Linked DNA regions of Pelodiscus sinensis. The protein of the gene in region 2 interacts with the protein of the main gene of each other region in a pairwise test. Links are inferred from orthologs where the notes say so. Each region holds a gene or a part of one and is shown on either strand. Other genes may lie near its edges. The genes, in order: SYNJ2, ITSN2, WAS and LARP6.

Region 1 (7,461 bases), about 98 Mb from region 2:
CACTGTCCCGGCAGCATGACACCTGCAACACCAGTCCCTGCTGCTTGGAAAGCAGTACATAAAGGGCAGCAAATAAAATTTACCCAGGGTACCATTTTCCCAAGGCCAACCCTACTGAGTAGGAAGGAGGGGAGCTATCAATAAGGGAAGGTCAAAGAAAAGAAGAACACTAAGAATGGAGGATGAACTGAGGCATTGAGGAGCAGGGATGGTGTGGTATTTATGAGAATTAACACTATGGAATGAGGGAAGGAAAGCATTTCCAGTTGTTGTAAAGCAGGCTTTTTCTGTCCACGGCCTTTGCGTATAGCCCATCCTGCCACACAAGGCCCCTCACACAAAACCCAGATACTCAGAGGAGCATGGGCAGCACAATGCAGTTTTTGTGAATGGAATTTGACCTTATAGGCATCCTGGAACTCAAAGGCACCAAGAAAATAGGGAGGAAAGCATAACTAGATAACGCCTAGCTGAATTTACAGATAAGCCTCATTTGACCGTAGCTTGACCAGTCTTAGGGGCAAGGGGAAAAAGTAAACATAGGGTAATAAAACACAATTGTCTTACACTAACTATGCCCCATCTGGTCCTGTCCACGAGGGGTTCACTCATACATCACGAAAATTCCTATAGGGCAGTATTGTCATACTACCTCATCACTAGCCTATCAGGCCCTGCCAAATGCAGACCCTAGCATGGCACCAGACACCGAATTTTTGTATAAAAGACCCTCAATCCCTTTGTTCGACGGAGGTTCCATGTATTGAGGGCACGTGTCTTTTTTTTGCCCGGCTAAAGGATTGATCACCCTGAGGCTGCCTCCCCACCCTTCAAGTCAAATATAGGGGGGCACGAGTCCTGAGCATGCTCCGAGTTCTAGGGTGTCTTTCTGTTGTTATTGATTCTGGATTTGTAAGTACTGCTTAAATGTATTAGTTATTGGTTTAATTAATAGTTAGATTGTGTTAATTTCACTGTGTAATTCTGTAAAGCGTATCTAAGTTCTGTTAACCACACTGTGTAAATTGTATAATTTTGTGTTGTGTAGTAGTGTTGTATTTAGGTTAAGTATAAGTGTTAGAAATAGAAGCCCCGGAGTTGTTAAGTTGTAAAAGTAGATTTATGACTAACTCCACCAGCTGCCCTAAAATAACCATAGAGGGGCTGGCTTTGGATGGTTCTTTTATTATCATTACTTTGGCTTTGTTTTTTGTATGCTGCGTTGTCTTAGGCAAATTAAGGATAGTGATTTGATATGAGTGAATTGTAATCAAAGAATTGTAATCAGTTGGGTATAATTGTGCCCAAGCTTTTCTACGCAGTAAAAGTATTGAGCAATCGCTAGTTTAAACACCTATTTGGTAATTATTGGTTTTGACCACTTAATAAAAATCATTTGTTTCACCATCATCCAGTAGTTTTCACTGGGTAGTCAGCTTTAACCCTTGAGGCTCCCGTCACATCACCGAACCAAGGTGCAACACCAGTATGGGGAACATTTTCCTTGAATATGGGACTCTGTCATGTATTCAACACCCATATGTGAACTGGGCCACAGTCAAAGACCAGTGGTGTCTGAATGTCAACTAGAAGGTAAACTTCATACCATAGAACTACCATTTACAAGTGAAATGGATTTACATGCACTACAGAAAGAAGGTGAGTACTATTCAGATATCCTGATTTTGTAGCCTATAAAATAAAAAAGCCTTTGCAAACAGTTCCAATATACCCAGACACTGGATCCCTAATTTTAACACATTCTCCAGCTTTCTTCAGTACTTTTCTCTATTAAGCAGCTTATGTTAGTTGCTTTCTTGACATTTTAAGAGTTCAGCGTAGTCACCTTTGAACAAAAAGCCTATTTGAAAAAGTAATATCCGTCAATTAAAAAAATGCCGACCCACTCACGAATATCAAGTGAGAGAATGAGTTAATGGAGAACTGCTCAGAATGTGAGCTCCCTTAAAGAAGCTCATGCCTTGCCAAAGCATGAAATAAAACTCCCATAAAATAGATTTACAGTCAGCGCTCAACTATATTGCACTGCTAAATGTTCCATCTTCACCTGCCTTTGCTTTTATATCTTGTTCTCTGAACCTGATTTGTTGTGCTTAAAAAAGAGTTTATTGTTCATACCCCAGTCCTATGTCTAGGCAAATATTTTCTTTAACAAGTCAGACGCTGAGCTCTATTAATTATCCTGACTGGTGTGCTCATGTCATAATGTTTTCTACTGCAAGTTACAGGTACAAATGAATTACAAGCACAAATACTGTTGAATCTTTGACATGTCATTGTCCTCCAATTGACGGTAATGCTCCTGCTGATGTACAGAAAGAGTTTATCATGAGAACAGTCTGCTGTAGCAATCATTCCTTGAAGGCAACAGATGCACTTATGTATAAATGAATGAGACCGCACCAAATTAACAAAAGAGAATATTACCTATAAGTCAACCTTCCATCTGATCCCACTACTAAGATTGCCACCATTTAATAACTAGGTCCTTTTTCTTCTAGGGGAAAAAATCATGGGAAAAGATGCTGAAGATGGAAATAGGTTGTTGGCCTGCCTGTCTCTGTACAAGAAACCTATAGCAAGAAAAATGTTCTTGTTCTGTTTAGGATATGAAATAACTTAAAAAAAAACCAGTCTTACAGCACCTTAGAGAGTAACAAAAAATGTAGATGGTATCATGAGCTTTTGTGGGCACAACCATAAGTTTCTTATATCCAGTGAAAACAAACTTTGAACTGCACTTGTATATCCTCTCATCCTAGTCACTAACATATGCCCTTTCCCCCCCACAGACACACATTTAATTTTAGTTATTTCCTCTAGGTTAGCTTTCACACTCATTCACTTAAGGCTACGTCTACACAGCACGGCTATTTTGGGATACCCTGCATCTCCACAAGCTGCCTTTTATTTTGAAATAACGGGCGCACTATTTCACCATCCTGGTAAACCTCGTTGCACAAAGGATAAGGAATGGCTCGAAGTAGCACGTTATTTCAAAAACTGGCACTGTGTAGATCTGCCACATGTAAAATAGTCTATTTCAAAATAGATTCAAAATAAGAAATACAATTTGTATAGCACAAATTGCATATCTTATTTCACATTTAGGGTGCTGTGTAGATGCACTCTTAGTGTGAAAGCTAACCTAGTACTACATAGTGTCCCAAAAATCCTAATCCAGACAATGCCAAATTTAACACAAATGTACTGTTCCCACCAGATCCCATTATTTTCTCTCTCAGAAGTGATCCCGTAAACATAAAAGTCTTTTTTTTTCTTTTAGCTATTGTTACTAAGGTCTAGTCTACACTAAAGATCTATAGTGGTATAACTACATCACTCAGGTTCAGCCATGTGTACACTACAGACCTTGCACTGGCATAGTTGTACTAATGCAGCTGCACCACCATAAGAACAGTCATGTAGTCATTCTATGCCAACAAGAGAAAACTCTCCCATCTGTCTAATAAAACTATCTCAACAAGTGGTGGTAGATTTGTCTCTGGGACAGCTCTCCTTCCAACAACGCAGCATTGTGCACACTACCACTTTTGCCAGTGACATTTCGGTCACTCAAAGGTGTGGATTTCCTCTCGCACCCCTAAGCAACTTAAGTTTTGCTGGCGTAAGCGGTAATGTAGACATGACCTTAGAGTACTATACCAGATTTCGTTTGCTTTGAACTGCAACAGACTATGTTTATACTGTGAGTCCATTCAGGGACTTGCACAGTGGAGCCTTCACTAATACACTCCAGCATTTTTAATAAAATGCAAACAATAGGCAGCATTTTGTATTTCACTGTTTCCTAGAATACCTAAACAGTGGTTCATCCACAATAATGGTTTCCACAGCCACAATTGTTCTGTGATCAGCTAAACTGAGTTTAAGTAACATACTAGGTTGTGCCACACAGCCATCAAAGCTGTGTGTTGCCTATTTGCATATACATGCACAACTATCTTAATATGTTTGTATTATTGTAGTCTGGGAAAATATGGCAGCATTCTTAATGACTCAGCAAGGAAATGTGGGAGGAACCCTGTACTACTAGAAAGATAAGTGGGTTCCTGGACAAAGCTAGGCAAATAATAGATTTTTTTCATATTTGGCAGTTTTAAAAAAGTCATTTTGGATAAGACAATCAATTTTGGAGAAACTGAAAAGTAAAAAAAAAAAATCAGGGTTGAATAAAGCTATAAGTTTCAACAATTTTAAGACAAAATTTAATAAAAACCAAAAACTTTTCAAACAATTGTTTTCAAACAAAAATATCATTATTTGATTTTTTTAATGTGTCTTCTAAGAACAATTTGGCATTTGCAAATGTGTTGTTTTTGACAAACAGATCATTGTCAGAATCCGTATTTTTCTCCAAAAAAAAGTTTAACCTGATTTTTTTTTTGCCAAGATCTGTTCTGGGAGTTGTTAGAGGAAACCAGAGAATTATAAAATAATATACCTGCATACAACATCTTTCAGCCCAAAGCATTTTACAAACAGAGGGTCAGGTGTGGTATTTCCTTTCAGAGTGCAAAGAATTCCAGTATCTATGTATGTAAATGTGTCATCCTACTACTCAACTCTTTAGCCACCTCTGGGGAGGTGTGAGGGAGTAGTTTAATAAGGCTACACGACTGTTTAGAACAGAAAATGAGAAGCAATATAACAAAACTGCATGGGAAAATAAACTGCAATCTTGTAGCCCTGCTGGGCCCAAAATATTAGACACACAAGGTGGGTAGACCAACTAAAATAAAAAATATTTTCCATCATCTACCTTGACTCTTTTGAGAAACTCGTGCAGGCAGGAGCTTGACTTCCACCAGAGCAGGGAGTATTATCTCACGTTCTCAGTGCCAAAGATGTGTTTAATTTATACAGAGTTAGCTAGGATAGATGTTCTCAGTTTATACCAACACGAGTTCCCTATTTGATAGCTTGGCACAGTTTCATGTTAGCATTTTAGTCACTATTTAGCTTGTCTTTTGTAAATTGCTTTGTGCCCTCTTTGCTCTTAGTTCATGTTTGTATAACTCTTTTTGAGCGCCCCATTTGAAAGACGCTAGACAAGAGTGTAGCATTAGTTGCTGTCCTCTAGGGGCGCATCCATCATGCGGTGCAGCGTGGAGAAAAGTTTCGCTTCTTGGGATCCAGATCTGATCTGTGTCAAAGTTGAGTGTCTGGAATGGGGCTTGGGACCTGAGTGGCCTCGTTAGCTCAGATCCGCCTAGAACTACCACTTCATTTCTCCAAGTCAGGCGGGGCGGGGCGCGTCTGCGGCCCCAGCTCCTGTGTTGGCCGTGGACGGCTCCCCTCACCCTGTTTTGTTAGCCTGGGAGTAGCACGGCCTCTGCCGCCTCCTCCCGGGGGCTGTGACATTCCAGCTCCTCCCTCCCGCAGAGCGGGCAGGGGTGGAGACAGGCGGACAATGGCTTTTACCTGTCCCGGAGCGGGAGGAGGAGCCGCCGCCGCCGGAGCAGGAAGGAACAAAGTCAACTCCTGCAAGTTTACACGGGACCGGCGCCGCGAGTAGCCAAGGACTTTCCAGCGGAGCGGAGCCTCCGGCAGCCCAGCCAAGTCACCCTTTGCCTGGGGAAGACTGCGAGGAGCCGGGGCAGCCCGAGGTCTCCGCCCGGAGGCGGTGCTGCGCCTTTTGGTCGCCCGCCGAGTTGCTGGCCACTTTTCCTGGGCTGGAAGCTCGCTACCCGTCTGGGGCGCTCCCCGGCCGGCTCCCGGGCTTGGGCCGTCGTGTGGGGGCGGCGCTGGCTGCAGGGCTCCGTCTCTCTCCTGGAGCGCCGCGGGCAGGAAGGGGGGAGGCTGCGACGCTTTCTCTGCTCCCCCCGCGCTTGGTGCCTGGGTTTGTGGCGGGGAGCGGGAGCGCCCCCCTCCCGGCACCTCCTGCGCCTGCCTCCCTATGGCCAAGCGGCCCCATGGCTCTGAGCAAAGGGCTGCGGCTGCTCTGGAAGCAGGAGCCGGCTCCGAGCGCCCTGCTGGAAGCGCGGGCCCGCCACGACTGCCTGCTGCTGGAGGCCGGCACCGTGGCCACCCTCAGTAAGTGCCTCTGGCGGGCAGGGCGCGCACCTGGGAGCGCGGGGTGGGCGTGTCAGGCTGGGGGTGTCCACGCGGGGACGGACCCCTGGCTAAGGGCTGCGCGTCGAGGGCCAGATTTTCAAAGCGCTCAGTTAGGCGCGCAAATACGGCGCAGGCTTTCTGCAGCGCTCAGCACGTCCCGCGCGGAACCCATTCACAACAGCCCTGCCCAGGTTCTCCTTACACGTGTGGAGGTGTGGGCTGCTCTGCAGAAGGCTAAGCTTAGCTCGAACAGTTACACCTGTCAGTAGTTTCCACCCCAGGGTGGGACAACAGGGCCGGGACAACACTAGACTTTTTTTTTCTTTTGCTACTGTAGGTACAATTTATTAGTAGTGCCAACGGTGAGGACACTAGTGTAGAGAAGGGCCCAAAGATTAAAAGATAGGTAAGCCCTTTACTCTGATCAGCATGGAGTTTGTAGTCGATCACTATCCACTCGCCTCTTCTGAAGAAGTAGCAGCTTTCACTCACGAAGAATAACTGGGGGAAATGATTAGTATTTAAAACAAATCTCTCAAAGATTGTGGTTGGAGAAACAAAGAGGGAGCCATAATCTACAACACAGATTGAGGACCATACAATTTGTGAAAAGGAGGAACATTACTAAAAGTCCAGAGTTACAAGCATAAGCTTGTGCTTAATTTTATTACTATCCATGAATCCGTGAAGCCATGTCAATCTGACTGCCTGGGTACTAAAATTAAGCAACTGCATAAACATTTGCAGGTTTGGTGCCAAAGGGTATGGCACAAAGTTTGTATAGAATTTGTAAACGCTTTGGGGGCAGGAATTGCCATTTATTATGTTTGTCCTGTGCCTACCACAGTGGGGCCCAGCCTGGTTGTGGCCTTTAGATGCTACTGTAATACAAATTTTTAATAATTATACATTTTATGTACATATGTACTTACTTACTTACTGCCCGTTACGCCAATGGCGCATAGGGCAGCAACGAAGTCCTTCCACTTCTGTCGGTCGCAGGCCAAAGCGCCTATTGTTCCCCAAGTATGATGATGGTCTTTTAATTCTTGTTCTACCGTTCGGTGCCAGGTTGTTTTTGGCCTTCCTCTCTTTCTCTTCCCATCTGGTTTCCAGTGGAGTGCAATTTTCGTAATAGATCCGTCTTCTCTTCGTAACACATGACCTATCCATCGCCAGCGTCTTTTCATAATTATAGTGGCCATGTCTTCTTGTTTACACTGATACAGTAGATCTTCGTTGGAAATTTTGTTTGGCCAAAATATCCATATGTACACATGTATTTTAAAATTAATTTTTGCTTTGTAATTGCAAATACAACTAGACTTTTTCCTAGCTGCTCATTAGCATTTCATCTGATCT
Region 2 (7,609 bases):
GGTGGGATCTGTGCATGCGCTGCGCGCCTGGCACCGCGCGCCCAGCACTGCACATGCAGCGTGCGCTCGGGGTGGGGGCCGCATATACACCAGACAGTAAGGGCACAAGAATGGCTCGGGCCAGCCATGGTCACTAGGTGGGCGCACATTAATGCCCCGGCTGGTGCCATGGCGCCCGCAGGCACCGCGTTGGGGACCACTGCCCTATGCTATAAGGTTCCTACTCAGGCTCTGAATCCAGGGGGGAACTAATAAATTCCTGGGATTCCTCTCCTTTCATCCCATCATACCACTAGCTTTTGTAAGACAGCTCCATTGTCAAACAATGGCTGTCAGGGAACATAGAAAAAATATATTGTGTGAAACACATGGAATTCTGGTAACTGCTGTTCAGATAGCCAAAAATATTTTGGCCTTGGAAAGGGTTCAGAAAAGGGCCACTAAAATGATTAGGGGTTTCAAATGGGTCACATATGAGGAGAGGTTAAAACGACTGAGACTTTTCAGTTTAGAAAAGAGGAGACTGAGGGGGGATATGATAGAGGTCTATAAAATCATGAGAGGTGTGGAGAGGGCCGATAAAGAAAAGTTATTTATTAGTTCCCTAAATAGAAGAACTAGAGGACATCAAATGAAATTAATGGGTAGCAGGTTTAAAACTAATAAAAAGGAAGTTCTTCACACAGCGTGTAGTTAACCTGTAGAACTCCTTGCCAGAGGAGGCTGTGAAGGCTAGGACTATAGTAGAGTTTAAAGAGAAGCTAGATAATTTCATGGAGGTTAGGTCCATAAAAGGCTATTAGCCAGGGGATAAAATGGTTTCCTTGGCATCTGTTTGTCAGAGGCTGGAGAGAGATGGCAGGAGACAAATTGCTTGATCATTGTCTTTGGTCCACCCTCTCTGGGGCACCTGGTGCTGGCCACTGTCAGCAGACAGGATACTGGGCTAGAAGGACCTTTGGTCTGACCCAGTACGGCCGTTCTTATGGGACTGGGCCATCTCCTCTCCCCAAAGGTGGTTCTTATTTCACCCTGGATTGATTCAATAATGAGTTATTTCAGAGAGTATTATGAAGACAACAATTCTGATGAGGAATTTCATAAGATCTTCTCAGTAACAGTAATCACACTTCTTTAAAGTTCAGTCATGAAATATGTAGCCACCAACTTTCAGTGCAATTGAAATAAAAATGTAGCCCTAAAATATATTATGGTTTTGTTCAAACTATTTTGCACACCTTTATACATCAGATTTATACTTAATTGTCAGCATGTAGCTGCGAACAGTCATTCTCAATCAGTAGTACATCAGCTCTGCATGCCTCCAAGGGTACATGTACTACTGACTGTTGTAAAACTAGGCAAATATCTCTAGATATCTCTTTAACAGCTGGATATTTGCCTAGTTTTACAACAGGCTACAAAAAGCACTAGCAAAGTCAGTAGAAACTAAAATTTCATACCTATAATGACGTGTTTATACAGCTCTCTATATACTATGTACTGAAATGTACACATAATATTTATATTCCAGTTGGTTTATTTTATTAATTTATTTTATTAATTATATGGAAAGTCATTAACAGTGTACTAACACTTTTGCATTTTTATGCCTAATTTTGTAAGCAAGTAAGGGAGGTGAAACTTGAAGTATGCAAAACAAAACAGACTCCTGAAAGTCTGGGAAGGTTGAGAGCCATTAGTCTAAAATGTTGTGAGGGGTGTACCTAAAGTAGTGCAGTACAGGAATAAGTAAGACCCACCAGGATTGGGCTGTAGTCTTCAGGAATTAATCTTTATTTACATATTAAGATTTATGATGTGTGAGAGATCTCCAGGAATACATCCAACCCAAACTGGCAACCCTAGAAGGCTACTATGTTAGATTCATGGGGGGATGGATAGGCAAAATTCTCTAGTTACTATAAACATAACTGTAACAACAGGTCAAGACTCACTACCATGGCACCTCCTGCAGATCACACTGGGAATTAGTTCTGTCCTCAGCAGGGCACTCCATTCTGGCCAGTGTCTCTCTCCATGCTCTCCCTGCGCTCTGCTTTGGACCCACTTCACTCCCAGGACCATAGGACACTGCCCACCACACTGGTTTCTCAACCCCTTTTTCCCCTAGGTATTATCAGCAGTCCTTAGTCTCACATCTGCCATCATGGCCAACTACAGTCTCACTTTAGTCCCTCAGCTCAGGGGCAAGCCACAGTCCATAAAGGTCACTTCTCGGTGTGACTAGGTGCAGTGTAAGGACCCCAGGCCCACCCACTACTCTAGGTCCCAGATCAGGGACCCTCTGGCAGCAGTCTTGTCCTGCTCTCCTCTCTCCCACTCTACTGCCTTCTGTTCCCTGGGCTACTTCCCCTATGACCCTTGCACCTTCCTGGCCCCTGTATCAAGGCCTGCAGCCTGGCAGATATCAGTCTGGAGCTTTTCTCCTGCTCCCCTAAGCCTGCCTACCACTACTTCCTCTATCTAAGATGTATCCTACGGAACAAGTGCTGCATCCTCCCTAGTCATCTTCCAGCTGCTTACTGTGCTCCTGAGCCCTTATTCCTCAAAAAATGAGGTATACAGACTCTTGAACTAAAGGTTGTTTTTTTTTCCAACAAATGGCCCCGTCTACACAGGGCTTTTTATCACAAAAACCTTTTCCCCAAAAAGGACTGGAAGATATGCAAATGAGAGCGTGATATAGGCAAATAAGTGCTCAATTTGCATTTCCTCTTCCACAAAAATCCTGCAGTGTAAACATAACCTGAGTCTCAGGCATTGGTTCTATATTCAGGGGCATTTTTTGCCTTTATGCCTTGGCTCTGCACCTTAGGGCCTTGTTAGTCACTATGCTGTGGCACCCCACCCAGAGGCACCGTGAGCCTGTATAACCTATGATACTTTATGGGGAGTACCCAGTTACTGCCTCCCCTTAGCATGTTTATGCCTCCTGGAGTCGCTCCCCAACTTCACTGGTCTAGGTACATCCCATTGTCTCTTTACAAGTTAACAACAGATACACTCTAACTCCCTTTCCTCCTCTCCGCCCCGCCCTCCTCCCCATCTTTACGGAGTATTCAGACCCTACTCAACTGGATACTCACAGTATTCACTACTCCCACAGGAGCGGTACAGTTTATCAGTGTATCAGATATACCTTAGATCACAGTTTCATGTAGCACACTGTGATTATATAAGTTGATAGTTTAAAAAAAAAGTTTATTTAACAAAGCATAGAGATTTTAATGAGAGAAAGGAGACATATTGGAAGTAGATGGCTTCATATAAAATAAAATCATAATACACATTCCAGAACATAAACTTATTTATCTAGACGCTTTAAGCTGTTTTACAACAATATTCATCCGAATTCCTCCTAGCATTATAAAGCCAGGCTTGACTGTGATTTTTCCTTTAGGAGACAAGTCATGCTATTGGCTTGCCTCTTTGGTGGAAGATATTATGTATCTCCCCGTATTACCTAATATACCATCCTGATGTTTTGGTTTTAGTCATGAACAGGGCACACCCCTGTGGATTTATTTCCTTATAGATATTCTCTCTTGTAGATTTTGCAATCTTACATCAGGTATCTGGCTTGCTGTGCAAACAGACATCCTTTGCAAGATATACAGTGCACAATACACACGTGACCAGAGACGACAGCCCTCTGCTACTTGGCTGTCTGAAAGAAATATGTCCCAGGTATATCCCTAGTGACATGTCTTACTTAACTCCTTTAAGAACATATTTTTCAGTTTAGATATATAATTCCTGAAATATTACCTTTACATGCAACAGTGACTGTTGGTAGGGATCTCCCATGTCACCATTTGGTGAATTATTAAGGCTACAATTTAGTCACAGTATTCAAAGATTCTGTGACTTTACTGGACCTCCCTGACTTCTGCTCCAGCTGTCAGCAAATGAAGTCAGGCCTAGAGGTGGGGACTGTATGCCCCTACCCTGTTGCAATTAGATGGATGGCTGGAACCAGGATCCTGGAGCCCCTGCCCTGTAGTTTGCTGGGGACTGCAGCCAAACTGGGCTCTCCTCTCCCGCAGCTGCTGCCAGCTCTGGAGTGGGAGCTGTGCAACCCCTGTGGCTGTGCTCCCTCTACCCCTGCTGTGACCCAACCCATGTCTTTTGTTGGGGACTGCATTGTGGGCCGCATGTCCCCCTCGTGCGTCCCATGGCTGTACCCCACCCTTGGCTGCAGCTGTGCCCATGCATCCTTGTCCTGCAGCTGTGCCCAGCTCCAGAGCAGAGGTAGAGCACCCTCTATGGTTGCAACGCACCACAACCTACAGCTTTTTTTGGGAGGCTGCGCTATAGCCTGGGCCGTACAACCCATTCCTGAGGGCTGATGTGACAAAATCTTAGCCTTAATTATGATGCATATTTCCTACCTGAGAGATCCTCGTGAAACTCTACGCCCCCGTCCTGTGCCGTCTGCCAACTGGCACCAAGTTCCTGGGGTACGTACCTTGGCTTGGCACCCAGGGCCCTGTAAGCCCATATCTCAGGCCTTGGTCCCACACCTGCCCATATCTTGAGCCTGGGACATACACCCTGGGGTGCTGTTAGGCCCTTCTATGCCTTGGTCCCACACCCAGCTGCTGTCGGCCTGAATCAGGGCTGGCCCCGAGCCCAGAGGGGCTGCTCTCACTTAGTCCCTGGGCCCCCTCTGGGCTCATCCCTAGGGCCCCGGTCGCACACCCAGGAGCCCCGCTGCTGGCCCGTGTCCGCGGGCAGCTCCTGCTCCCTCCCCCTCCTGCCGCAGCTCGCCTTCTTCCTGCGGGCCAGGCCCCCGCCTCCGCCGCCATGTTGTCGGGCTGAAGCCGCCGCAGGAGGCAGAGGGAGCGAGCGAGCGAGCGCCGAGCAGAGCAACAGGTACCGCGCTGCCCGGCTGCGGCCTGAGCCGTAAGGGGCCGAGGGAGCAGAGCCGGCTGGGTGAGCGGCCTCGGCCCCCGCGGGGGGACGGCGGGGTCTGTGCGGAGGGTGGGAATGGGGCGCTCTTGCTGGGGGGCCGAGGAAGCAAGGTCCGGGGGCACCGGGTCGTGAGTGTGTTGGGGGTCTGGGGAGAGAGGATTTGGGGGGGCTTGCAGGGAGAGAGGATTTGGGGGGGTTCGTTCGGGGGCCACGAAGAGGGAGCCGATAGGGGTTGCTGTGGGTTGGGTTAGGCGGCCCAGTGTGGGAGCAGGTAGGAGAGGTAACATGTCCTTGTTTGGGGGGGGACCCAGGGAGGGAGCAGGTAGGAGAGGTAACATGTCCTTGTTTGGGGGGGGACCCAGGGAGGGAGCAGGTAGGAGAGGTAACATGTCCTTGTTTGGGGGGGGAACCCAGGGAGGGAGCAGGTAGGAGAGGTAACATGTCCTTGTTTGGGGGGGGGACCCAGGGAGGGAACAGGTAGGAGAGGTAACATGTCCTTGTTTGGGGGGGGGGACCCAGGGAGGGAACAGGTAGGAGAGGTAACATGTCCTTGTTTGGGGGGGGGACCCAGGGAGGGAGCAGGTAGGAGAGGTAACATGTCCTTGTTTGGGGGGGGGGACCCAGGGAGGGAGCAGGTAGGAGAGGTAACATGTCCTTGTTTGGGGGGGGGGACCCAGGGAGGGAACAGGTAGGAGAGGTAACATGTCCTTGTTTGGGGGGGGGGGACCCAGGGAGGGAGCAGGTAGGAGAGGTAACATGTCCTTGTTTGGGGGGGGGGACCCAGGGAGGGAACAGGTAGGAGAGGTAACATGTCCTTGTTTGGGGGGGGGGGACCCAGGGAGGGAGCAGGTGGGGCGCCCTTGCTTGGGAGGAACCCAGGAAGGGAGCAGGCGGAGGGGGCGTTGGTTGGGGGGAGCGCTGCTAGGGGGTGCCCTTGATTGGGGGGGAGTGCAGGAAGGGAGCAGGGAAAAGATGAGATATGTCCTTGGGGAGGGAGAGGGAGTCTAAGGGGAAAACATAGGGGGTGCCTCTGATGGCGGGGTGGGGGAGCTCTCAGGGAAGGAGCAGGTAAGGGTGTGCCCTTGATTGAGAGAGTCCTGGGGAGGAACTCTAGGGAGCAGTTTGGGGGCTTTTGTGAGCAGTAACCTGAGGGGAATGGCCTGGGGAACACATGACTGGGATTTGAAGTGTTTAGTGAGGTAATGTTTGTGGCTGCTTGTGAGTGATTTAAAGGGCAGAATGTGACCGTATGAGACCATGATGCAGCCCATCAGTTCCACCTCTAGTCTGTTTCATTTGTCAACTTGGAAACCTTACCTGAGAGATTTTTCCCCCTCTTCTTTGAAGTTTTCTCTGGGGAATGGGGTTGGGATTTAGTCTTCTCCAGTGTAAGCACCTCTTGCATAGTATAGCAGGAGAGAGACAATCTTTGATTTTGTTCATTTTATTTAGCTCACATCACAGTGAGCAGCTGGGTACTGCAAAAAAGTTTCAAACCACAGTAACTGAAAATAGAACCTTAACAACAGAATGGGCAGTGGATGGGGAAATGTTTCAGGTTTGTGGTTTTTATTAGGTTGAACAGACATTTCTTTTGCATTAGAAGTTCTTCCTCTCTAAAAATAATGAAGTACTTATCTCTTTTATGAAAAGTAATTTTTTTTAACAATCAAAGCTCTTGTGAAGATCTTGCATTTTACCCCAAGGCTCCTTTTCAATACAGCTGATAAGTGCTGTGTTCAGTTTCTATAGGTTTTACACTTACATTTTAAAGGCTGCCAGAAATGAGTGAGACAAAATACAGGACTATGTAGCACTTTAAAGACTAACAAGATGGTTTATTAGATGATGAGCTTTCGTGGGCCAGACCCACTTCCTGAGGAAGTGGGTCTGGCCCACGAAAGCTCATCATCTAATAAACCATCTTGTTAGTCTTTAAAGTGCTACATAGTCCTGTATTTTGTTTCAGCTACACCAGACTAACACGGCTACATCTCTGTCACTATCAGAAATGAGTGAGGATTGTTTACAAATTTCCCCCACACATGTTCTCTCTGATTTGGAAGATGGAGGAGTAAATTACTGATGCTAGAACACTTTGATGTGTTTCTATGGGAACTAATTTTCTTCTCCTAAGAGTTGGTTTCATTGTTTCAGTAGTAAAGTGTGGATGGCAAATTTTATAATCTGTGTATATGTGTTATAATCTGTTGAGAAATAAAGATGGTAGCACTGATTAATAGGTTCAGAATTAAGTAAGAATCAAAATACAGAATATCTGTGCCTTGAGAGTTTACAGTCTGTAAGAAGATAAAACATTGGTAATGGATGAATAGATGAATTGTACTGGGAACCTCAGAGAATGGAATAATGAAGATTATTATAATTATTGGCTTACTTCTTAGGCTCCTGTGAAAACCTATAATTAGAAGAAATTAAGAACTGATGAAAACTAAATTCCATGGTTAGTGCCTTAGTAAATGATGTCCTTTTTTCTGTCTGTTTATGACATTGTCATTTTTTCTCAGGAAATTAAATGTTGCTACCATCTAGGGAATCTGGTTGTGCTTTTTAAGCATTAATATAATGTGAATAATAAATTTAAAATATATGATTTGCAGATAGTGTCACACCACTCACAGGTAGCAAAATTTGAAAGTAGATTTTACTT
Region 3 (7,063 bases), on a different chromosome or scaffold from region 2:
CAAGCCAGCCAGCCCTTGTCCTGGGCCGGGTGGGAGCCGGCACCCCCCGGAGGGGACAGGCCCCTGTCTCATTCCCCGCCCCCCAAGCCAGCCAGCCCTTGTCCTGGGCTGGGTGGGAGCTGGCACCCCCAGGAGGGGACAGGCCCCTGTCCCATTCCCCGCCCCACAAGCCAGCCAGCCCTTGTCCTGGGCCGGGCGGGAGCCGGCGCCCCCTCAGGCCAGCCCAGTGCCCCGTCCCCCTGCTCTCACTTGAAGCCGCTTGGGGCGCCGATGTCAGCCTTGGAGATCTTCTTCTTCCCTTTCTTCTTCTCGGCAGCGGGGGGCACCGGCAGCCCCCGGTACCGGGACGAGGTGATGTCCGGGTTCTGGATGTCCATGGTAATGAGGTTCAAGGAGGGGGAACTCGGCTGTTTGCTGGGACCTGTGGGAAAGAAAGGGGGGGCTGTGGGGAGCAGGGCCGGGGCTCTCCCCTGGAGGACAGGGAGCGGGCGGGGGGCTCGGGTAGCCCTTTGCAGACCCCCTCCTCCGAGCGCTTACCGTTCATGTCCCCCCCGGCAATCGGGGATCGGGGCAGCGTCGTCCTGCGCTCTGGAGGAGGCAGAAAGAGCCGTGTTAGACCTGCCAGCCCCTCCCCCACGGGAGAGCTTGGGGGGCTCAGCCCCGCCCCATTGCGCAGGGCGGCGGGATCACGGGGGACTCACCTTCAGGGACTGGAGGGGGGGGTGGGGGCAGCTGCCGCTTCTCTGAGGAAAGAGCAGAAAGCGCGTTAGGATACTGGCCCAGGGGGGCCAGGGAAGGGGCCCGGGGCCCTGCCCCTCCAGGGGGGCCAGGGAAGGGGCCCGGGGCCCTGCCCCTCCAGGGGGGCCAGCGCCTGCCCTGCCACTCACCCATCCTGTGCTGGCGCTTCTGGAGCTTCTCCTCCACCACCATGTGGAAGGCGCGAGCCTCGGCCTCGTCCGCAAAGTTCAGCCCAGCCTGGCATTCCTGGGAGCAATCGGCACCTCGCCAGTCCGGGGGGGCTCCACGCCCCTCCCAGAGCCAGGGGAGAACCCAGGCGTCTGGCTCCCGCCCCCCCTGCGCTAACCACTAGGCCCCACTCCCCTCCCAGAGCCAGGGGAGAACCCAGGCGTCCAGCCCCTTTCCCCCTGCTCTAACTGCTAGGCCCCACTTCCCTCCCAGAGCCAGGGGAGAACCCAGGCGTCTGGCTCCCGCCCCCCCCGCGCTAACCACTAGGCCCCACTTCCCTCCCAGAGCCAGGGGAGAACACTGGCATCCTGGCTTCCCTCCCCCCTGCTCTAACCCCTAGGCCCCACTCCCCCCCAGAGCCAGGAGAGGTCCCTAGCCCTACCTATTATTTGTTACCCTCAGTTTTCTCCTTTTATCCCGTCTCTGAAATTGTGTCCCGGGGGCGGGGCTCGGTTTGGAAGCCCCGCCCTCGCGCCCCGCCCTCCTGGGGCAGATACTCACGTCCCCGGGGAAGGTGTGGAAATAGGCAGACACAGCTGAATAGGCCTCCAGGCTGCTTAGCTCCTGCTCCCACGTCAGCCTGCCCTCCTGCAAGAGAAGGGAACCCTGGCACACGCCCTGGGGGTCTCGCCCCGCCTCCGGCAGGGGAGCGGGGCCAGTGCTTGGCGCAGGGAAGCCCAGACACCCGGGTTCTCTGCCCAGCTCTGGGAGGGGAACGGGGGCTAGTGGTTAGCGCAGAGGAACCAGGACTCCCGGGTTCTCAGGGCTGGGACTCACCTTGAGACTGAAGAGGCGGATGAAGTAGGAGCGCCGGGGGTTGTCTTTGACCAGGCAGAGGACCCCGCAGCCCTGCTTGCCCCAGGCCTGGCTGTTGGGGGGCAGGGCCAGGTACAGCTGGGCCACGGACGTGGCCAGGGTCTGGGCCAGAGACATCCGAGTTACAGAGAGATGGCGGCTGATGCAGCCAGCTCTGGGGTGGGGTGGCTGGGAACAGCTGCACCCTGCCTGACTACGGCTCCCCAGGCTGACAGTTCCTGTCCCCGTCTCCGGTGTTGGCCTCAGGCGTCCGGCGGGACCCCAATGGGCCTCTCACCAGCCCCACAAGCGCCATTTGCATGGCCGAAAGGGGGCCAGGAAGCAAGGCCCATCACTCCTCTGCCAGCCCAGCCCAGCCCCCCAGCCCTACCGGTGCCCCTCACTCCAGCCCCCCCAGCCCTGCCGGTGCCCCTTGCTCCCAATGAGCAGCCTCTGACAGCCCTGGGCTTCCCCTACCCAAGATCTGGGGTTCCCCTTACTCCAGACTTACACCGCCCAGCCCTGCCAGAGCCCCTCACTCCCACCCCCCAACCCCTGCCCCCCTAGCCCTGCCGGTGCCCCTCACTCCCGCCCCCTAGCCCTGCCGGTGCCCCTCACTCCCGCCCCCCAGCCCTGCCGGTGCCCCTCACTCCATGGGCCCTCACCGTGCATTTCCGGCCCAGGAGCTCAAACACCTGCTGGTTTTCATGGTCCAGGAGGAGACAGGAGGGGACGTTCTCTTGCGCTCGGGCCCCGGCCCGGGCCCCTCGGCTCATGCTGGCTCCTGGCACCCGCCCCAACAGCAGGCTCTTGGGGTCTCTCCCCTCCCCGCTCGCGACCCGGCCAACTTCCGCGTCACATCCAACAGGAAGCGCAACAGAAACCACCGGCCAGGGGAAGTTGGGCTCTGCGAACAGTCCCTGCCGGGGCTGGGGGAACAGGGTAGGGGGGTGGGAGCAAGGGGCCCCCGCCGAGCGGGGGGGAGATGGCGGGGGCCCCGCCGAGCAAGGAGCGCAGGCTCCTGGCAGACTCAGGCAGTGTTGTTTCTGCTGGGGGCAGGGTCCTCTGCAGCCGTTTTGGGGGCGGCTGGGGCGGGGGGGAATTTCTGAGCCCAACGCGTCTTGTAGGTGGCGGGGATCCCCCCAAGCCAGGCCAGGTGTGAGGAGGGGCTTGGTTCCAGGTGCCTCTCTATGGGGGGTAACGTAGTTAGGGCTTCCCCCCACCTTTGTATCTGCCCTACAATCCCCCCAATCCCTTTTCCATCTGCCCACCCTCCTCCCTCCATAACCCCCCACTTCCCCCCCACCTGCCCCCTCCCAGAATGTCTCTCCCCCCGCCCCCCACAAAACACTCAGGAAGGGGAAAGTCCGGTTGCTGTTTATTGAAACCCAGAACTACCGTACAGAAGCCACCGGCGCCCTGCGTCACGTTCACATTGCGTTTCTTTCCCCCCATCCCGCCCCCCACGGCGCTTTGTGCTGGGGGGGAGCAGGAGCAGGCTGAGTGTCCAATAGAAAGAGCTGGCCACTGCCAGGGGCTCTTTTATCACTCCCCTCCCGAAATCTGGAGCCTCTGGAATTGCGTGAACCCAGGCAGGATCGGCAGGCCAAGGTGCCGGGGAGACGGAGATTTTCGTCGGGGGAGAGATGGCCCCAGAGCGATCAGCCCAGCCGGGCACCCAGTCTAAGGAGTAGAGCCCTGCGAACCTGCCAGTAGCAGTGGCTGTGCCGGCAGAAATCCATGGCGCATGGAGGCAGACACGAATTTTGGAGCGAGCACACCGGTGGCTGTGGAGAGCCGCGGGACTTTTGCAGGTGCCAGTTTTGTACCCACACGGAGTTCTGCTAAGAAGGTTCTGAATTCACCAAGCCCAAGATACCAACTCGGGACCTTTCCACCTGCAGCCCCTCCTCCCCTGCAACATGCAATACGAGCCACAGGCAACGCCAGGCCCCCAAAAGGAAACCTGACCCTTGGGAAAGTGGCCCCAACATTTTAAAAAGGTGTTTTCAGGCCTCAGATCTGGGCAAAAATCCCGCTTTGTGAATGGGTTTTTTTGGTTGCTTTCTCGTCAGGGAACGGGCATTTTGCGGGGAGGGGCAGCAACGTCCAACAAACACAGAGCCAAGATGGGGGAGAAGGGGGTCGTATCTTTGATCAGATCGAGTCCCGGAGGAAGGACATGAGCCCCGGGGAAACTCGAAACGTCTCTCCCCCCCCGCCAATGGCGACCCCATAAAAGGTATCTTTGTCGCTCGGAGTTGGATTGTGCTGCTGAAATCTGGGGTGAGGGGGGTGTTCCCCCACCCAGCTCATAAAACATGATGGTTTTCTTCGTCTCTGGGCCAGACCTGGAATCGAAGGGCTGTAATATGTCGGGGAGGGAAGCCCCCACTTTTTCTGGAGAAATCAAAACATGGGCTGGGGATTTGTTTGAAAGGAGAATTTTCTGGTTTGAGGGGTTTGGATTTGGGGCGGGGGGAGGGATTAGGGGAAGGACAAAAAGCCGGGGAAAAGAAGCGTATTTCTTGCTCAAACGCTTCCTTCCAAAATGAAGGCCCCAAAGTCGGGCCGATGTCGCTCCTTTGGGGGAGGCCAAGCAAGATACGCCCACAGCACAAGGAGGAGGAGAATAGGGGAGCGATGGAACTTCGTCACTGGGGCTTCCTGGCTCCCAGCCCTAACCACTAGACCCCACTCCCCTCCCAGAGCCGGCGCGAGACCCCGGGGTCCTGATGCTATACAGAGCCCCTTCCTGCCAAAAGAAGTGCACCTCGTGCTGCGTGTACCCGGACGCAACCATGATCACGAAATAATAGAGTTCATGATCTTAAGGAAAGGTAGAAGGGAGACCAGCACAATTGAGGAAATGGATTTCAGGAAGGCAGATTTTGATAAGCTCAGAGAACTTGTAGGTAAGGTCCCATGGGAAGCAAGACTGAAGGGAAAAACAACTGAGGAGAGTTGGAAGTATTTCAAAGGGACGTTGTTAAGGGCCCAAAAGCAAACAATTCCGCTGTGTAGGAAAGATAGAAAATATGGCAAAAGACCAGCTTGGCTTAACAAGGAGATCTTGCACGATCTCAAAATAAAAAAGGAGTCCTAGAAAAAATGGAAACTAGGACAACTAACAAAGGATGAATATAGGAAAGCAACACGGGAATGCAGGGGCAAGATTAGAAAGGCAAAGGCACAAAATGAGATCAAACTAGCTACAGGCATAAAGGGAAACAAGAAGACCTTTTATAAATACATTAAAAGCAAGAGGAAGACCAGGGTAGGCCCACTGCTTAGTGAGGAGGGAGAAGCAGTAACAGGGAACTTGGAAATGGCGGAGATGCTCAATGACTTCTTTGTTTCGGTCTTCACCGAGAAGTCTGGAGGTGTGCCTAACGTAGTGAATACAAGCAGAGAGAGGGTAAGTTTAGAAGATAGGATACACAAAGAACAAGTTAAAAATCACTTAGGAAAGTTAGATGTCAGCAAGTCACCAGGTCCTGATGAAATGCATCCCAGGATACTCAAGGAGCTGATAGAGGAGGTATCTGAGCCTTTAGCTATGATCTTTGAAAAATCATGGCAGACAGGGGAGATTCCAGAAGACTGGAAAAGGGCAAATATTGTACCCATCTATAAAAAGAGGAATAAGAACAACCCAGGAAACTACAGACCGGTCAGTTTAACGTCTGTCCCAGGGAAGATAATGGAGCAGGTAATTAAGGAAATCATATGCAAACACTTGGAAGGTAATAAAGTGATAGGGAATAGCCAGCATGGGTTTGTGAAGAACAAGTCATGCCAAACTAATCTGATAGCTTTCTTTGATAAGATAACGAGCCTTGTGGATAAGGGAGAAGCGGTGGATGTCATATACCTAGACTTTAGTAAGGCATTTGATACGGTCTCGCATGATATTCTTATTGATAAACTAGGCAAATATAACTTAGATAGGGCCACGATAAGGTGGGTGCATAATTGGCTGGATAACCGTAGTCAGAGAGTTGTTGTTAACGGTTCTAAATCCTGCTGGAAAGGGATAACAAGTGGAGTTCCTCAAGGGTCTGTTTTGGGACCCGTACTGTTCAATATCTTCATCAATGATGTAGATATTGGGATAGAGAGTACGCTTATTAAGTTTGCAGATGATACCAAACTGGGTGGGGTTGCGACTTCTTTGGAGGATAGGGACATAATTCAAAATGACCTTAGCAAGTTAGAGAAATGGTCAGAGGTAAACAGAATGAGGTTTAATAAAGAGAAATGCAAAGTGCTCCACTTAGGAAGGAACAATCAGTTCCATACATACAAGATGGGAAGCGACTGTCTAGGAAGGAGCATGGCGGAAAGGGATCTAGGGGTCATAGTGGACCACAAGTTGAATATGAGTCAACAGTGTGATGCTGTTGCAAAAAAAGCAAATATGATTCTAGGTTGTATCAACAGGTGTGTTGTAAGCAAAACTCGTGAAGTCATTCTGCCGCTCTACTCTGCACTAGTTAGGCCTCAGCTGGAGTACTGTGTCCAGTTCTGGGCGCCACATTTCAAGAAAGATGTGGAGAAATTGGAAAGGGTACAGAGAAGAGCAACAAGAATGATTAAAGGCCTAGAGAACATGACCTATGAAGCCAGGCTTCATGAACTGGGCTTGTTTAGTTTGGAAAAAAGAAGATTAAGGGGGGACATGAGAGCGGTTTTCAAATATCTAAAAGGGTGTCACAAGGAGGAAGGAGAAAATTTGTTCCTCTTGGTTTCTGAGGACAGGACAAGGAGTAATGGGCTTAAAGTGCAGCAGGGGAGGTTTAGATTGGACATTAGGAAAAAATTCCTAACTGTCAGGGTGGTCAAATATTGGAATAAATTGCCAAGGGAGGTGGTGGAATCTCCCTCTCTGGAGATATTTAAGAACAGGTTAGATAGACATCTGTCAGGGATGGTGTAGACGGAGCTTGGTCCTGCCTTGAGGGCGGGGGGCTGGACTCGATGACCTCTCGAGGTCCCTTCCAGTCCTATTATTCTATGATTCTATGATCCCAGGGCAAGAGGGGTGCTGTTTCTTTGGGGGTCCCCCCGGCCACCCCATAAAGCGGCTGTGTCCCAGCCTGGATGGGATGCGGCTCCCAGCTCCGTGGGCCGCAACCAGAGAAGGACCCTGGTCCAGTTGGGAGGGGGAGCAAATCCACCATGGCCCGGACACAGACACTGGGGTTGGGGTTAAATTCGGGGTGGGGACAGGAGAGGGGTGTCGTGTAGCCAGGAGGCTCTGAGGGGCTGCCCCCCCCGGGGGGGGATTTAAGGCACTGGC
Region 4 (7,100 bases), on a different chromosome or scaffold from region 2:
TAAAACACTGGTGCAGGTGCACATAAATGCCCCAGTGGGTGCCATGGCGCCCGTGGGCACCACATTGGGGACCCCTGTAATAGATGTATAATGTTTACAACTTGCATTTAGTGTTTCTCTTTCCTTGGAGATCTTTTACCAAGGATTTGATTGTCAAAGCTGCATGGGCAGACTGAAAAACAACTTATTTAGGTTGACTCATCTGGAGATGACTCATGCAGGAAACCAAATGCATCTGTGCACTGTGGGTAAAATGTGTCCTTTGGAGATCAAGCTCGTAGGGTTATCAATATTAAGCTGTTTGGATACATTTCTAACCTTGACAAATCTCTGTCTTAATTCATTTGAAAGTGATCCTGCCTTATATGAGCCAAGCAAAATGAATTGCTCTAAGCTACAGTGCCACTGCTGTAGTCGCTGTAGACAACAGGCATTTGGTATCAATTTAAATGGATTCAGGAGTGGACTCCTCAGTGAGCCACAGTAATTACTGCCTCTCAAATTGCAAAACAATTTCCTCTCTAAAGCACTATTTTAGAATATCATAACATCACAAAACATTCACCTATCAGGCTGAAGATTTCCAGTCTTAGTCTGTGCCCCAACATTTTTAAATTTGAGCAAAAACAGTTAAGCTGTTTCTGTGTACGGGAAGGGAAACTTTCTCATTAGAAAAACATTGGTAACCTTTTTCAATTACCCAGCCACCAAAATAGATTTGAGTATTACAATCTTCATTGTCAGGGGCTCGGAAAAATTCATCCTCCTGTGTACTGTGGTTAAGATGACCTAAGCCCTGTGTGGATGCAGTTAGGTCAGAGGAAGAATATGTTAGTTGGCCTAGATAATACTGCTCACAGAGATGGATTACCTGGATTTACATTGCTAGAAAGACCACTGGTGTCCTTCCAGGAAACCTTTGTGTCTTACTTTCTAGTGCTGCAACTTTGTTTGACCGAAATTAGTGTAAGCAGCTGAATCTGGATGCCAGTTCCAACTTACATACAGATTCAACTTAAGAACAAACCTACAGTCCCTATCTTGTACGTAACCCGGGGACTGCCTGTACACACCTTTTTCTTTACACAGCACAGAGACTTTGCCCCACAACCAAAATGGTATTGTCTATCTTGAAAAAATGCGTAGTCTTATTGTCTTTATACAGGTTGTATAGGCTTGCTCAGATCAGTCCAGCCCATTATGTGCACACAATTATAATGTTATGTCTATTCCTGTAAGGAAAGAATATTCTATAGTGGCATAAAGCACTTTTATATCAGTATAACTGATTCCACACCAGAGATATACTAGTGTAACTAGATCTGTTTAAAAAAACAAACCACCACTCGCATCCTTAACTGAAACAGTTGTACTAATACAAAAGAATGTGTTTTGACCAAGCCTTAGAAAACATGTTCAGGTGTTATTAACTCATTGTTAGGCACCATACAGCCCCAATTCACTCATGTTTAAATGTGTTTGTATGTCTCAGTTAATCCAACAGACTTTGCTTCCATGTGTAATAAAATTTGCACAAACTGTACTTCGTAAAAGCAGGTTGTCACAATAACATTATCAGCAATCCTCAAAAGATCATTACAGCCACTGGGATGTACACATGACAGGAAGAATATTGTGCCTACAAGTAATTCATCTACATAATGCTGCATAATTACAGAACAGACTGTAGTGTCAGGACAAGAAACTAGTAGTAGACCTAAGTCCCTCTAATTTCCAGAGCAGAGAGTTTTGCTAAGAGCATCCGGCACCCCACCTGGCAGGAATGCCCCAGCTCATTACTACAGTTTTAATCTGAAATAAAGCCGTTGGACTGAGCTGTCATGAGGCCTTTGATTCATTTATTTCTAGGGTAACTCCTTGGTGAGCTGACTAGTGCGTCACACTTCAGAAGGAGACTGATAAACCAATTGTGCTAATGAGCAATGATGGAAATAGCTTCCAATCACAGCAACACACTAGTGCCTTGAGGCAGCATTAAGGACTGAATTGGTTCTAATCCTCCTTTCTCCTCCTACCCCAACTCTTGCCATGTAAACATCACCTCCTCAATCAGATTAGAAAAGTCCCCAGCTCAGAAGGAAACACCTAACCAATAATTTTTGTGAAAGGTTCTCTAGGTGAGTCATGGCCAGGGATATTTCATCCTCTTTTCCCCCCAGCCAGGAAACATATTTGCCTTCTCTATTTCCGCACTGCAATACATTGGCAAAGGATAACTCGGGTCGGCGTTTTCCAGACTTCTTCACGATTTCCTCGCACCATCCTGCCTTAGTCACAGACGAGCCGGCTGAGTGTCCAGGGCTCAGGAGGTTGTTAAGCTCTCCAGGAAGCGGAGGACAGGTCGGACCCAACACTCGGCTGCTTTATTGGGGCTTGTGTCTCTGCAGGGCACTGGGCGCTGTCTCCGCGGGTCCCTGCAGCCCGGCTGTCACCCACGAGGCTGGGAGACGCGCATCTGCCCGCAGACCCACCCGCGCCGTTAGCGGCGCCTCGTTTCACTGCGGGACCCGGGCTTCCCTGACGGGCCCCCGCCCGCGGCTTTCCAGCGCCAGCCACCCGCCCTGCTCCCCGCCAGCGGGCCGGGGCCCGGGAGCCTCCCGCCTGCGCGCGTCGCGGGGCGGGGCCGCTGGTGCAACGTCCCGGCCGAATTGCACCAAGTCCCCGCTGGCCCGGCCGCTGTGTCCGAGCCCTGGTTGCATCAGGCGGGCCCCGCCGGCCCGTGGCTGGGCGAACCCCCGCTCGCGCCCCGCCCCCCGGGGAGCAGCCCCGCTTGCCGGGCCGCGGTACCTGGACTTGGCATCCTCGCTACAGCTGCCCCCGCCCGGCGCCCCGCCGCCCTGCTCCGCCTGCAGGGCCACGCGGATCCGCGCCGGGCCGCCGGGCCGCGCCTCGGGCACCTCGGCCATGGGCAGAGCCCGCCGAGCAGCGCTGCCCCCGGGCCGCCTGCAGCCGCCGCCTTCTCCTGCCGCGGCGCCTCCGAGCCCGGCTGCGCCCCGCTCCAGACCCCTCCTCTCCTGGGCGGCCGGGCCCGCCCTCCCCGGGCAGCCCGCGGCGTTTCCACGCAGGGGCGCCGGCGGGGCGAAGGGGGAAGGCCGGGCAGGCACAGACTTCCCAGCCCGGGCACGGGGGAGGGGTCTGCGAGTGGGGCAGAGGCCCCCTCACGCGCCCACGCAAGAGTGGGGAGGCTCTGGACGTGGGGCCCGGGCTCCACCGGCCTAGGGACAGCGTCTCCCCCGTGTTGGCCCCTCTCGGAGCGGTGGCGCTGGCGGCACAGATCGCTTCCCAAGGATTCTGCTGGGTGAGTCTCCATGAGACGGGCTCGCTCCTTTGTCGAGGCAGGAAAGGGGCCTTGCCCTCACTTCAAGCAGAGTCACTGTTTGCCAGACTTCTCCTCCTCGCAGCCTCTATGTAACCCCATGTATGCAGGAGGGGCCCGAGAAATCCCTTCATCCAAGATAGCGAGGTGACCAAACCTCTGGACGTCATCAGCCCCCTGCCGACATTAGGTGTTGTGTCTTACATAACAACTATAATCCCCCTCATTGTCTTGATTTTCACATTTTCCATCTGGCTGCTCTGTGCCAACGTTCAGGGGCTTGCAGGCCAGGGAATGTGTGATAACTCAACCTCAGTTTGGGACAGAGGAGGATAGACAGAGGGCTGACACGCTACTCAAACTCAATCACTGCATGTTCCTGCCAAAATTATTATCAGTCAAATAATTACTGTTGTATTATGTTATTGGTAGGTTTCAGAGGTAACATTTCCATGAGATGACTGGCATCCCTTCACACTTGTATCACATGAATTATTTCCTGCTATTTGAAGAAAGTGTTTCATTAGATCAAAATAGATTGGCTTGACAACCATAAGAGGTAGGAATTACATGTTTTAAAAAATGTAATTTCATTAGAAAATGATGGGGTTATCAAGAAAGTGCAGCTATAAGGGTTCAACATATTCCAGTTGGATTTATGATTGTCTTCTGTCTATTCCTTGATTTGCTAAATATATTACAATATGCTATTTATCTTGGTCCGCAGCTTTGAGACCTAATGTGATTTTGCAACTAATAACTTCATAAATAACTGCACAGCTTCCAAAGTATAACGTGAAAGTCATACAAAGAAGTATGTGGTAACTATGAACAGCCTAAAGGAACTCATGACTGTTGTTTTAAATTGAGTTTGAATTCTATCTTATGTCTCATCTTCTGGAAAATAAAAATGGTTTATTCTATGCCTTCTGAGGTTGTAAAGGTTTCAGAAAGATAACAAATGTGAATAAACAGAAATGACTGCATATGTTTTGTTTTATAGGATAATAGATGGGAATAGTGCTTTACAGAGCTTTACATCAACATGGCCTGAGCTCTGAGCAGCTAACAAAGTACACTTATGCACATGCTTAATTTGGATCGCAGGAGTTGCTCCATTGACTTGAGTGGTCTGTTTCCAAGTTTAAAGTAAATCATGGATGTGCTTGCAGCCAGGATTGGAACCTAGAATGTAGAATTTTACCACAAGAACATTTATTCCTTAATTGGGGAAGATCCTCAAGATCGATCTCTCTCTCATTACTGTTCTCACATGAACCATGTGGTGGAAGCTAGGATTTTGAATCTCTGTTGTGTCTGGTACAGTTCCTCTCTTTCTTAGTATCTTTCTTGGTTCCCTCATTTATACAGTGAAAGTCATACTTCATTTCAGTGCATTTGTCCACTATTTAAAATTCTGAATTTGCAAACATGTTCATTGCCATTAGATGCCATTTATCATTTTTATCACTCTACAAAGAATAAAAACAAGGAGTTTTGTGGCACGTTACAGGCTCATTCATAACTGAAATGGTATTGATCCATGAAAACTTATGCCCAAATAAATCAGTAAGTTTTTAAGGTGCCACAGGATTCCTCGTTTTTACATATAGAGGGCTGACTGTGTTAGCCTCTGAGATTTGTTACTCTGCAAAGAGTATTCTGGTGGTAGATCTGTTAGCATTTAATGTAATAAAAATCACCATCTGCCATGATGGTTTTTGGCTTATTTTTAACATGCTTTGTGTGGAGAAAATGTTAGGTGCTCTTATTTTTGTTTCATTAAAAAAAAACAACACTTCCTTATGTAACTGTGCAACTAACAAATGTGTCTTCAAGTATTGTATCATGTTGGCCCAGGTAAGACAAAGGGTGTGTCTAGACTACATGGCTCCGTCGACAGAGCCATGTAGATTAGGCAGGATGGCAAAGGGAAATGAAGCTGCGATTTAAATAATCTCCTCTTCATTTAAATCAAAATGGCCGCTGTGCTGTGCCGATCAGCTGATTGTCGGCACAGCGTGGCAGTCTAAACGGAGATCTGCCGACCCCAGAACCCTTCGTCGGCAGATCCTGTAAGTCTCGTTTCACAAGGCATAAAGGATCTGCTGACGAAGGGTTCTGGGGTTGGCAGATTCCCATCTAGACTGCCGCGCTGTGCCAACAATCAGCTGATCAACACGGTGTGGTGGCCATTTTGATTTAAATGAAGAGGCGATTATTTAAATCGCAACTTCATTTCCCTTTGCCGTCCTGCCTAATCAACATGGCTCCATTGACAGAGCCATGTAGTCTAGACGTACCCGAAGAGTTCAACTTTGCCCTACTGAGATCAGTGGAGTTTTGACATTGACTTGACTGGGAGTAGGATTAGTCATAAAAACTGGTTCCAGGAAAGACATGGGTATAAGTACTGTGGGTTTGATTTATGTACCACCAAAGTCAGTGTGAGTCTGCCAGCCTTTCAGGGGGACAGGATCAGACCTGATACGAGTGGAAACTATCCAGTTATATAGTTGACCAGTCTGATATACAGAGGACAGAAGTAAAATTACCCGAGGACTCCTATTCTTTGGCCAGAAATGAAAGTAATCATGGCTCAGTATAGGGATGTTAATATTGGTTAATTGAATAGTCGATTACCTCATGAATTCTTATCAGTTACTTGGTTATTCTATAGTCCCTGGGGGTGGGGGTGGCAGCTCTCATCCCCCTCCCAAGGAGCCCCATGCCACTCTGTGCTGCTGCCTCTGATACAGAGGCAGGAACTTGGGGTGGCAGCAGCCCCCATCTGGGGGGGTGGAAGAGGGTGGGAGCTGAGCTCCCAAACCTGGTGCAAGCTGGAACTGAGTTGGGATGCCTGCCCACCTGGATCCTAATATACTTTAAATGCAGGGCCACAGCGGGGATAGGTTCTGGACCCGATGTGAGCCAGAACTGAGCCGGGCTGCCGCCCAGTCTGCTAAAGAATTTACTGGTGGGCAGTCTTCCTTCTAAGATTTTCCGTCCATGAACAGAGTGAGTTTTGTCTTGTGCATCAATATTGAGGTCATGTGCGCTTGTTCAGAGGTATACCACCGTGGCACCCAACTTATAAACCTCTCCCATTTCCCCTTTGCTGCCATGTCTCCCATTTTCCCCTTGTCCCATGGGCTCCTCGGATGCCTGCTGCCGCCCCCCCATGCCTCACCCTCCTCTGCTCTCCTGGTTCCTGCCCTTCTCATTCCCCTCAGCCCCCCCTGGAACTTGCCCTATCTCCCCATCCTCTCTGACCCCTGCACCTGCCCTTCCCACTTGTACCCACCCCTCCTCATTTCTTCTTGTAATACTTCTGTCTACCCACCTTCCCTGCCTTTCCTCTCTGTCTTCTGGTGTCCGTCCCTCCCCTCTACTCCCTTCCCTATGCCTGCCCTTTTGCTTCACCCCCACAATCCTTCTGGCACCTGCAGCTTCCCTTACCCCTTGCACCTTCATGGTGCCTCCCCCTTCCCTCACTGCCCCTGCCCTCCCAACACCTGCCCCCCTTGCCCACTTCCTTTCTGGTGCCTACTCTCTCACCACCCTCTGCGCCCTCACACATGACTTGCTCCAACCCCCGCCTTCCCCATGCCTATCCCTCCTTTCAACCCCTCTTCTGGCACCCACTTCTCCCCTCTCCTCTCCCAGCATTACCCTGTCTCCTCCCCTTTCTCACCCCCACTGATACCTTCCCATTCCTCCCCACCCTGCTCTTCCTGCCCTTTCCCCTCATTGTCTCCTCTTG

The links.
Region 1: the proteins of ITSN2 (region 2) and SYNJ2 interact in a two-hybrid assay, tested with the Homo sapiens proteins (2 studies listed by BioGRID and IntAct). The link is inferred for Pelodiscus sinensis from reciprocal best matches to the Homo sapiens genes ITSN2 and SYNJ2.
Region 3: the proteins of ITSN2 (region 2) and WAS interact in a two-hybrid assay, tested with the Homo sapiens proteins (2 studies listed by BioGRID). The link is inferred for Pelodiscus sinensis from reciprocal best matches to the Homo sapiens genes ITSN2 and WAS.
Region 4: the proteins of ITSN2 (region 2) and LARP6 interact in a two-hybrid assay, tested with the Homo sapiens proteins (2 studies listed by BioGRID, with this or other methods). The link is inferred for Pelodiscus sinensis from reciprocal best matches to the Homo sapiens genes ITSN2 and LARP6.

What each region holds. Positions count from the first base shown.
Region 1 is NC_134713.1:112,226,161-112,233,621, forward strand, and holds the start of SYNJ2 (synaptojanin-2), read left to right. Parts: upstream 1-4,457; 5' UTR 4,458-5,957; coding exon 5,958-6,078; intron 6,079-7,461. UniProt on the Homo sapiens protein: Inositol 5-phosphatase which may be involved in distinct membrane trafficking and signal transduction pathways. May mediate the inhibitory effect of Rac1 on endocytosis.
Region 2 is NC_134713.1:14,268,392-14,276,000, forward strand, and holds the start of ITSN2 (intersectin-2), read left to right. Parts: upstream 1-4,600; 5' UTR 4,601-4,899; exon of another isoform or gene 4,900-4,959; intron 4,960-7,381; exon of another isoform or gene 7,382-7,402; intron 7,403-7,609.
Region 3 is NW_027466045.1:201,208-208,270, reverse strand, and holds the start of WAS (actin nucleation-promoting factor WAS), read right to left. Parts: upstream 3,010-7,063; 5' UTR 2,538-3,009; coding exon 2,427-2,537; intron 1,885-2,426; coding exon 1,744-1,884; intron 1,555-1,743; coding exon 1,468-1,554; intron 985-1,467; coding exon 888-984; intron 744-887; coding exon 702-743; intron 589-701; coding exon 538-588; intron 422-537; coding exon 250-421; intron 1-249. UniProt on the Homo sapiens protein: Effector protein for Rho-type GTPases that regulates actin filament reorganization via its interaction with the Arp2/3 complex. Important for efficient actin polymerization. Possible regulator of lymphocyte and platelet function.
Region 4 is NC_134724.1:45,143,476-45,150,575, forward strand, and holds the start of LARP6 (la-related protein 6), read right to left. Parts: upstream 3,002-7,100; 5' UTR 2,928-3,001; coding exon 2,809-2,927; intron 1-2,808. UniProt on the Homo sapiens protein: Regulates the coordinated translation of type I collagen alpha-1 and alpha-2 mRNAs, CO1A1 and CO1A2. Stabilizes mRNAs through high-affinity binding of a stem-loop structure in their 5' UTR.